Linked DNA regions of Xenopus tropicalis. The protein of the gene in region 1 purifies or fractionates together with the protein of each later gene. This does not show direct contact. Links are inferred from orthologs where the notes say so. Each region holds a gene or a part of one and is shown on either strand. Other genes may lie near its edges. The genes, in order: lrrc41 and drg1.

Region 1 (4,576 bases):
GAGGGTTTCACAAAAAACACATGCGCTATAAATTTTCAAGCATTATAAACATCACTGTATATTATAATTAATTCCGTAATATAATTATACATTCAAAAGATTTTAAGAGTAAAATATCCAACAAGTAGAATACGAGTGAAAGAAGTGTATATAGTTATTTGTAACTTATTAAAAAACTTTATAAAACCCCATTACCTCAATGGACCAGGACCCCCATGGTGCCGTTTAAATAATTACCTTCTCAGTGATATTGGGGCATAAGATCCCCTATATATATATGTAGTTAATAATGTACCACCTATTGTAAAATATATGGATATTATAAGTCACAGAGGAATTCCATGACCTTATAAAAGCACAAGGCCAAAGGCTAAATGCCTAATATCTTAATATTTTATAACAGGGGGTACACTATTTATTATAATACACAAGTTTCAGGGAGATGTGACAAAAATGATATTACTAAGCACCGGTTATAACTGATGTCATCACTAAACACTGTTTATAAGCATATCATTTACAGGATATTCATAGCTATGTATTATATTATCATATAGTGCTGACATATTCTGCAGCATTGTTGTAGAGATTATACTGTAGGTAATTCCCATCATTCCCAGCCCCAGTGGAGCGTACAGTCTAAGGTCCCTTTCACATTCATAAACAGTAGAGACAAGTGTATCAGGAGCCAATTAACCTGCCTGTATGTTTTGGAGTGTGGGAAGAAACAGGAGTACCCATGCAAGCACAGGAAGATCAAGCAAACTCCTTTTCAATACCTTGTGCTCTGAAACAAAGATAAAAAAGGAGCTGGTAGGTGTGTGCATAGAAGTATCTAGTAGAATTAAGCCTAAAACAACTGGACTTTTCTGAGTTTTTTGAAAAATGTTTCACCACTCATTCAAGTGGCTTCTTGCCATTATGAACATACACACATATGTACATACACAGATACAATAAAAAGTGCTATAGATTGTAGAAGAACAGGACTGACATTTTTCATGTTCACCTAAGGTAATAGTGCTTTTTTCAAGTCACACTGACTAAATTCTCCCTGTAACAGGCATTTAAAGAGGTTGTAACAATCTCCTGGGATACATTCATTGATGAGAAGTCACCTAGACTTTTGAGTCTATCCATTAGTGGAAATACACTTTTCAGATTCAAAAGAGGCACTGGCATTTGTAGTAGGTAGGGCTGACCAGCCCCAGTATAAAGAGCCAGTCTATGGCACCTTACAGCACATCCTCATTTGCCAGAACAGATTGCCATTCCTGACCTGCTTAAAAATGTCAGACCTGATGTAGACAATAACATTCTGAGACAATTAGTCTATAATATTCTTTAGTTATTGATTTTTTTAATTTCCCTTCTTCAATCAACAATAAAGCAATTTAGAGGATACATGATAAAAAATCAACTGCCACAATAAGGCATTTGACCTTCGCAAGATGGCTAGTTAACGGCGATGCCACCTTCGACACGTGATCTAAACAGAGCTGTCTGACCTTCTCAAGATGGCTGCCCTCTATCCTTACTGAGAAGTGGCTCCTCGCCCGCTCTGTTCCCTCTTGACTTGTCCGCTGCTTTTGGTTTCGGTTTTCCCCTGAAATGAGTAAGTAGCGGTGATCAGGGTAACCCAGGCCATGGATCATGCGGTGGAAGATGCTGGAGGGACGGCAACCCTATTTGAGCTTTGTGCCAGGGTAGTGAATGCCAACATGGAGAAACTGGAACAAGACGTTTGGGGTAAGCCAGCGAAACACCAGGACTGCCTGGTGTCGTTCGGGGAATACTAGCATTCCTTTCATTCTCTGTACTCTACTGACAGACGGGGGTTGTGGTAAAATGCTTGTATCCCACTTGAGCCCCTAGTATTGCTACATTTATATCTCTCTCATTAGGTTTCTGTGGGAAGTATGTCGTTTCTGTCAGCCGTTAGAATTCACATCAGGTGGTGCTCTTAGAAAGATAAATACTGATCTATATCCTTACAAGAAGGTTCATGATGAACCAAAAGTACAATTATGCCAGAGACAGTGGGTAAGTTGGAGGGTTGCAGGTTAAGAATCCATGATCCATGGAAAGTTTCTGCTTTAAAGATATTTCCATTTAACCCTGATTTTACTGTGCATATGTGTGCGATGGACCCTTTTTCGTATTTAAATAGAGGATTGCAGGCAAGTGTGGTTTCATAACTACCACTGAGGTTTCTTTAGTTCCATCAACTTTAATGGATGCTAATGCAGTATGATATTACCCTGAAGCTGCTGTAAATAAGCTGGCTGTTCTGTCTTTCCTGTGCACTTTAAGGGCTCTGGCACACGGGGAGAACATGTAAGTCGCCGGCGGGATGGCAGACGCGGCGGGGCAATTTTTTTTTCGGCGATTTGCGCGAAATCGAGCCGCCGTGTCTGCCATCCCGCCGGCGACTTACATGTTCGCCGGTGGGATGGCAGGGGGAAGGCAACTCGGGGAGATTAGTCGCCCGCGAACAGGGAGTTTTGCCGCGGGCGACTAATCTCCCCGTGTGCCAGAGCCCTAAGGGTGAAGACACACTGAGCTACTAGTAGCAGCTACTTTTTCTTAAACTCTGGAAAATACCCTCCCATAGACAATACTGAGAATTGCCTCTGCTAAAACACATGTAGAGACAGTTATCAGTAAATGATCAGCATTGTCTGTTTTGGTAGCCACAACAAGTAGCTGCTACTAGTAGCTCTGTGTGACTTCACCCTAAATGTATAAATGTAATGGAGATTTTAGAATATAAGCCATTGAGAAACTATGGAGAAGATTATTCCTTATGTGGAAGTGTTTGTTCTTACAGGGCTGCCAGCTGTTGTCCTGCAAGGAATTCTGCCACTATTAAACATTTATTATCTTGAGAGAATAGAACAAGCTGCTGTTAAAAAAGGTATGGTTGTACAGTAACATTATATTGGGGTTTGACAGTTTTCAATTTAAAAAGTAAAAACTAGTTCCTGCAACACTGCATTAAAGAACCAGTATCTTAAAGAATCAAAATGATTAATTCAACCTGACATACTATATATTACTAAGCTGTGTATGTAAAAAAGTTTTATTTTTATTATTTATTTATTATTATTGTATCATCATCAGCCATCTGGTCTATTGTATTTAATGGAACTTTGGATAATACATAAAAAAGTGTCTAAGAATAGGACATTTTGTTACATACTAAAAGGTGTATTACCAATTTGAATGAATATTGTGTGTGTATTTATGATACTTTAATTCAGTGCTGTCCAACTTCTGTTGTACTGAGGGCCGGAATTTTTCCGACCTACGTGGTGGAGGGCCGATAATGGAAGCCAGTTTTGACCACTCCCCTTTTTGAAACCGCACCCACTTGAAACCACACCCATGTTATCACATGACCATACCCATATTAATGGTTGTAGTACAGCAAAAACCTGCCATACTCTGCCTGCCCTACCCTGCCTGTGTGTGCCATACTCTGCCTTCCCTACCCTGCCTGTGTGTGCCATACTCTGCCTTCCCTACCCTGCCTGTGTGTGCCATACTCTGCCTTCCCTACCCTGCCTGTGTGCCATACTTTCACTGTGTGTGCCATTCTTGGCTGGTTTGTGCCATACTTGGCCTGTGTGTGCCATACTCTGCCTTCCCTACCCTGCCTGTGTGTGCCATACTTTCATTGTGTTTGCCATTCTTGGCTGGTTTGTGCCATACTTGGCCTGTGTGTGCCATACTCTGCCTTCCCTACCCTGCCTGTGTGTGCCATACTCTGCTTGCCCTATGCTGCCTGTGTGTATGGCACACACAGGCAGCCTACAGTGACACAATGCTGGCACTACTCCTACAGTCTGCACAATAACTATATATTAAAAAACTTTTTAATTGCACTACCACCTCAGTATATGTTCTTTTTGTAGTGTGCAGGGATTATTTGTGGGTTTCTACTGCTCCTGAGGTGTGAACAGGGGAACAATGGGGGTGATTACAGCCTGAGCCTGAGGTGTGAACACTGCAGGGGGTGAACAATGCAGAGATTAAAAGGTGTGAAGAACACAGTGGATTACATTTTTAAACAATACAGAGGGATTACAGCCTGAATCTGAGGTGAGAACCATGCAGGGGGCCAGTTAATCACAGTACTGATACCATTTAAAGCTTACACAAGAGTAAGCCATCAAAGCAGTCAGACAGGTGGGGGGCCACACAGAGGGGGGTCGCGGGCCGCATGCGGCCCGCGGGCCGCCAGTTGGACAGCACTGCTTTAATTTATTGGTGGCGCTGGTCATTCAAAGGGCATGTTTATTCCTTGCGAGGTAGATAATTAGATTACCAGTATAAAGCCTCTCCCTTTTTCTTTGTTGTGACTGGTGTGTTAGCAGGATCTACCGCACAATGACCAAACATAAATTAGCTTCACTTTCTCTGCTTTCGCTTTATAGCTCAAAAAACATTTTTTGTGACCAAAACAGAAAGCAAAAATAATGTTCAGCACAAGCCCGATTAATAATACTCATGCTTAACAAGAAGGTATACTGTTCCTTTTAAGTAACAATATACAGTATATATATATATATAT
Region 2 (4,364 bases), on another chromosome or scaffold:
AAGAAGAGAAACAAAATCAGATGTTTTTAAAGGGCATGTATGGTTTTCAATGCTAAAAATGCTAGCAACTGCTAGTAAACTGTGCAACTGCTAGTTAGAATATCCCATGATTAACTCAGGCTCATGTTATACTAGGCATGATTTAGTGGCATATATGCAGAGAGTTAGCCTCATGTTTTTGCAGCCCTGGAAAGCCTCTCAACAGCTAACTGTTCTAAAAACACCCAGTTTACTCCAGCAGAAAAGTTGTTTGTTCTTTAAGATCCTGTAGTGAAATTGTAATGAAAAAAATGAATGAATCAAGACCTTGTAAAAAGTGGCACAATCACTTATTTTTCAGTTATTCGTGTTTTAACCAAACTTATAACATATTTAAGGGGGCATAAATGGAAAACGTTGTCAAAGTTGTCCTCTTAATACTTTTGGCATTTAATTTTCTTGCGTGTTTTAAAGATAATTGTATCCTTACACCACTAAAAAGATTGCTTTGGCACAGCAGCTTTCTGTAAGGGCTGCTGAGTGAGTTACCTGGGGGTTATTTAAATATGCTAGTAGCAGACACAGTGAGATGACCCTCTCCGTATCACTCACTGCCTCCATCCGGAGGGATGTTACTCTCCTCATGCTCTGCCCAGCTTTCTAAGTCCCTTTTTTACTTCCAAGGTAAAGCAAGTCCAGGTAAAGCACATTTTCCTTTTGAAAGTGAATTTACAGCAGGACAGTGTTTACAGACAGCTAGGATACTGGCTAGGCAATTCCATGCTGCATTAAATAAGCAAATCCCAACTTTCAATTAAAAATAATGTGCATTTTTACATATATGATATATGTAAGGGACTTCTATCCATCCTTTTTTTCCTTTTGTATTTGACTGTATTAATCTGTTATGAGATTATTTTATTTTTTTTATTTTTTCTCCCCTGGTTTAGAGGTGTTAAATTACATATAGCCTTTCCCAAAATGCATCCGTTTCTTAAACTGACTGGCATGAGAGCTTTCCTTTTTCATTTCCATTGTGTTGTAATCCCCACAATATGTCAGCAATGGGAATGATTGGTCTAGTCCAATTCTAACTAACATGGCACTGCCAAGTACTTTCCTGGGACCTAATGCCCCTTTGCTCCCTAGGAGCTGAAAATCAACACTTACCAGGCGACAACAGCAGTAATAGAAGTAATTAATTGCAAACTGTACTGCTCTAAAGTGTAACGATGTACTGTTACTACAGAATGACAATGTGGGCTGTGTTGTACAAGCACAATCTTTAGTTTGATTACACACCCTCCCATTTAGACATAATTTCTAAGATTCACATTATTCACTATAGCCATATCTGTACATTGTAAAAAATGTTTTATGGTTTCATTAAGAAATTACTATTCATTAGGGCAAAGACATAAACTGAAATCCGTTTCAGATTGCCTTGTTTTTGCAAGAAATTGTGGGGGGTGAAGACTACCTAGTTTATTAAATTCCTCTGATAATCCCATTGTATAATGAGTTCCTTTTTTAACCTGAAATAGCACATTGGTCTTTAAAAGCAGATTTTAATGCAAAAATATATACTTTAGCAAATGTGGCTTATCCAACCGTTGGTATGATAACCAAGTATTGGATCATACAGCAGGCCTATAGAGATGATACGGCCATTGTCTGTTGGGATTTTGTAACCTAGACAGTAACATGGAGGAAATACAAGTAAAAACAAAACGGTGCTCTGTGTAAAATATGATTATTTTTTTTATTATTATTATTAAAAGAATACATGATCTGTGTAAAATAAGATTTCTTTTTTCAAATTAAGAATAGGCAGAAAATATTTTCAACAAACACAAGTATAATTAGAGCTTATACTTCTTTGAGTTAGTTATATAACAGGGTTGAGCGTTATGGCCACTTATGTTACCTAATGATTACAGCTGGCACTATACTCCGTTTCTCTGTGTTTGTAAATGATACATAACAATACCCAATATTAAAACTAAGGTCTTATTTTTATTTCCATAGTGTGCCCAGAGTGAGCTCGATAATGATACAGTAAAGAGCATCTTGGCTGAGTATAAGATCCACAATGCAGATATCACACTGCGCAGTGATGCCACTGCTGATGACCTGATAGACGTAGTAGAAGGTAATAGGTGAGTATGTGAATATAAAGCAACTCTGTAAGTGCACTGAATTTGTTGTTCAAGTTTACTGCCAGAGGAGGTGTTAATGAACTGTCAAGCTTTGGTCATACCTAATGTAGACTACTATTCATTTACTTGTAGGGTTTATATTCCTTGCATCTATGTGCTGAATAAGATTGACCAGATTTCAGTTGAAGAACTGGATATCATCTACAAAGTCCCACACTGTGTGCCTATCTCTGCCCATCACCGCTGGAATTTTGATGACCTTCTTGAGAAGATCTGGGATTACCTCCAACTGGTGCGAATGTAAGTCTGTTTGCAAGAAGCCATTAATGTAGATTAATCCAGTTAATGATTTCACGCTCTTAAACGTGATTGAGATGACCTTTTGTTCCTGTTACAGTTACACCAAACCTAAGGGTCAGTTGCCTGATTATACTTCACCTGTAGTGTTGCCGTTTTCTCGTACTGCAGCAGAAGACTTTTGCACAAAGATCCATAAGAACCTTATCAAAGAGTTCAAATAGTAAGTTGTCTTCTAGTAGTTCATGGCAGCCATCTGTTTCACCACATATTCTGCACATTCATCCATGATATTTGGGACTGAATATTTAAGTAACTCAGGTAGGAAGGTGCAAGTAAACCAGGGAGGTGTGCCAGTAATTTGGAGCCTTTTGCTTGGTATATTTGTGAAGGATTTAAGATGCTACATTTTTGGGGGGGGGAGTGGGGAAGCAGCAGACATTTTATATAATTTTTCTTCTGTTATAGACTGAAATATCTGTTTACACCCCCCACAATTACACTTGTTATAAGCTGTCACTGTACAACATGCCTTTAACACAAAACCGCTTTAAGTAGTACAGGTATGGGATCCCTTATCCGGAAACCCATTATCCAGAAAGCTCCAAATTACGGAAAGCCTGTCTCCAATAGACTCCATTTTAATCAAATAATTTAAAACTGATTTCCCTTTTCTCTGTAGAAATAAAACAGTACATTGTAATTGATCCCAACTAAGATATAAATAATCCTTATTGGGTTTAATTAATGTTTTATTGATTTTTTTTTAGTAGACTTTAAGGTGTGTGATCCAAGTTACAGAAAGACCCCTTATCCGGAATACCCTTGGTCCCGAGCATTCTGGATAAGGGGTCCTATACCTAGTAGTAGTAAAATATTTCTTTTATACAGAGGTGCATAATAAAGTTCATGAATCCAATATGTTTTTCTCCCTTGCAGTGCCTTGGTTTGGGGATCATCTGTGAAACACAACCCTCAAAAGGTTGGGAAAGACCATGTGTTGGAAGATGAGGATGTCATTCAAATTGTTAAGAAATAATTCACATATTAACCTGCAATTAGGCATGTCAGTTCAGTATTTCAAGCTGTTTATTAAACTGTGCCTATTTCTCAGGCAGCATGCCAATAAAGCAGTACATTTCATTTTCAGCAGATTAATTTATCTGTTTTTCATTAAAATTGCAGGACTGCCCCATTGTGTCTCCACAAGTAATTATAATGACTCTTGCAAAACATACGCAAGGATTTCCCCATCCTCACTTGACTAACCGGCTCCAAAAGATAAATTGCAGTAATGATGGTCCAGGCATTTTTTGACTATAAACAGTTTTTGCTGTTTTTGCCAAGAAGATGAGTTTGCACTATATAAACAGTTATTTAGTTAGATTTTGTTTGTGCCTGAATCAGTTATTTGGGTTAGCTCTAATACATCTGCTAGGAAATGGAGCCTCTCCCCCCCCCCAAAAAACAAATAAAAATATATATATATATTTTTTATATAATATATATATATTTCTCCAAAAGATATGTGCACTCCAGCGTAGATCAATTAGCTTTATTAATAACTTACATCATAGCTCAAACATCTGGATGTTTGAGCTATGATGTAAGTTATTAATAAAGCTGATTGATCTACGCTGGAGTGCACATATCTTTTGGAGAAATATACAAGGTACAACCCTATGTAGCACCTGCCCATTTTGCCTAAAGGATTAATTAAAGGGAGTGCGGACCTATTGGTGTATTCATTACACTATATTCATTATAGCAAAAATGAAAATTTAGTATAACCTCCATTATAATATATATATATATATATATATATATATATTATAATGGAGGTTATACTAAATTTTCATTTTTGCTATAGTTCCCCTTTAAGAGGCCTGATATTTGCACAGGGTAGGCATAAAAACATGTATGCACTGT

What was found.
Region 2: the proteins of lrrc41 (region 1) and drg1 purify together in Homo sapiens (affinity purification with mass spectrometry; 3 studies listed by BioGRID and IntAct, counting the BioPlex papers as one, with this or other methods). This does not show direct contact. The link is inferred for Xenopus tropicalis from reciprocal best matches to the Homo sapiens genes LRRC41 and DRG1.

The regions. Positions count from the first base shown.
Region 1 is NC_030680.2:93,241,044-93,245,619, reverse strand, and holds the start of lrrc41 (leucine-rich repeat-containing protein 41), read left to right. Parts: upstream 1-1,511; 5' UTR 1,512-1,646; coding exon 1,647-1,749; exon of another isoform or gene 1,750-1,926; intron 1,927-1,954; exon of another isoform or gene 1,955-2,027; coding exon of another isoform or gene 2,028-2,043; intron 2,044-2,830; coding exon 2,831-2,917; intron 2,918-4,576. UniProt on the Homo sapiens protein: Probable substrate recognition component of an ECS (Elongin BC-CUL2/5-SOCS-box protein) E3 ubiquitin ligase complex which mediates the ubiquitination and subsequent proteasomal degradation of target proteins.
Region 2 is NC_030677.2:152,075,944-152,080,307, forward strand, and holds the end of drg1 (developmentally-regulated GTP-binding protein 1), read left to right. Parts: intron 1-2,007; coding exon 2,008-2,138; intron 2,139-2,270; coding exon 2,271-2,438; intron 2,439-2,535; coding exon 2,536-2,658; intron 2,659-3,374; coding exon 3,375-3,474; 3' UTR 3,475-3,593; downstream 3,594-4,364. UniProt on the Homo sapiens protein: Catalyzes the conversion of GTP to GDP through hydrolysis of the gamma-phosphate bond in GTP. Appears to have an intrinsic GTPase activity that is stimulated by ZC3H15/DFRP1 binding likely by increasing the affinity for the potassium ions.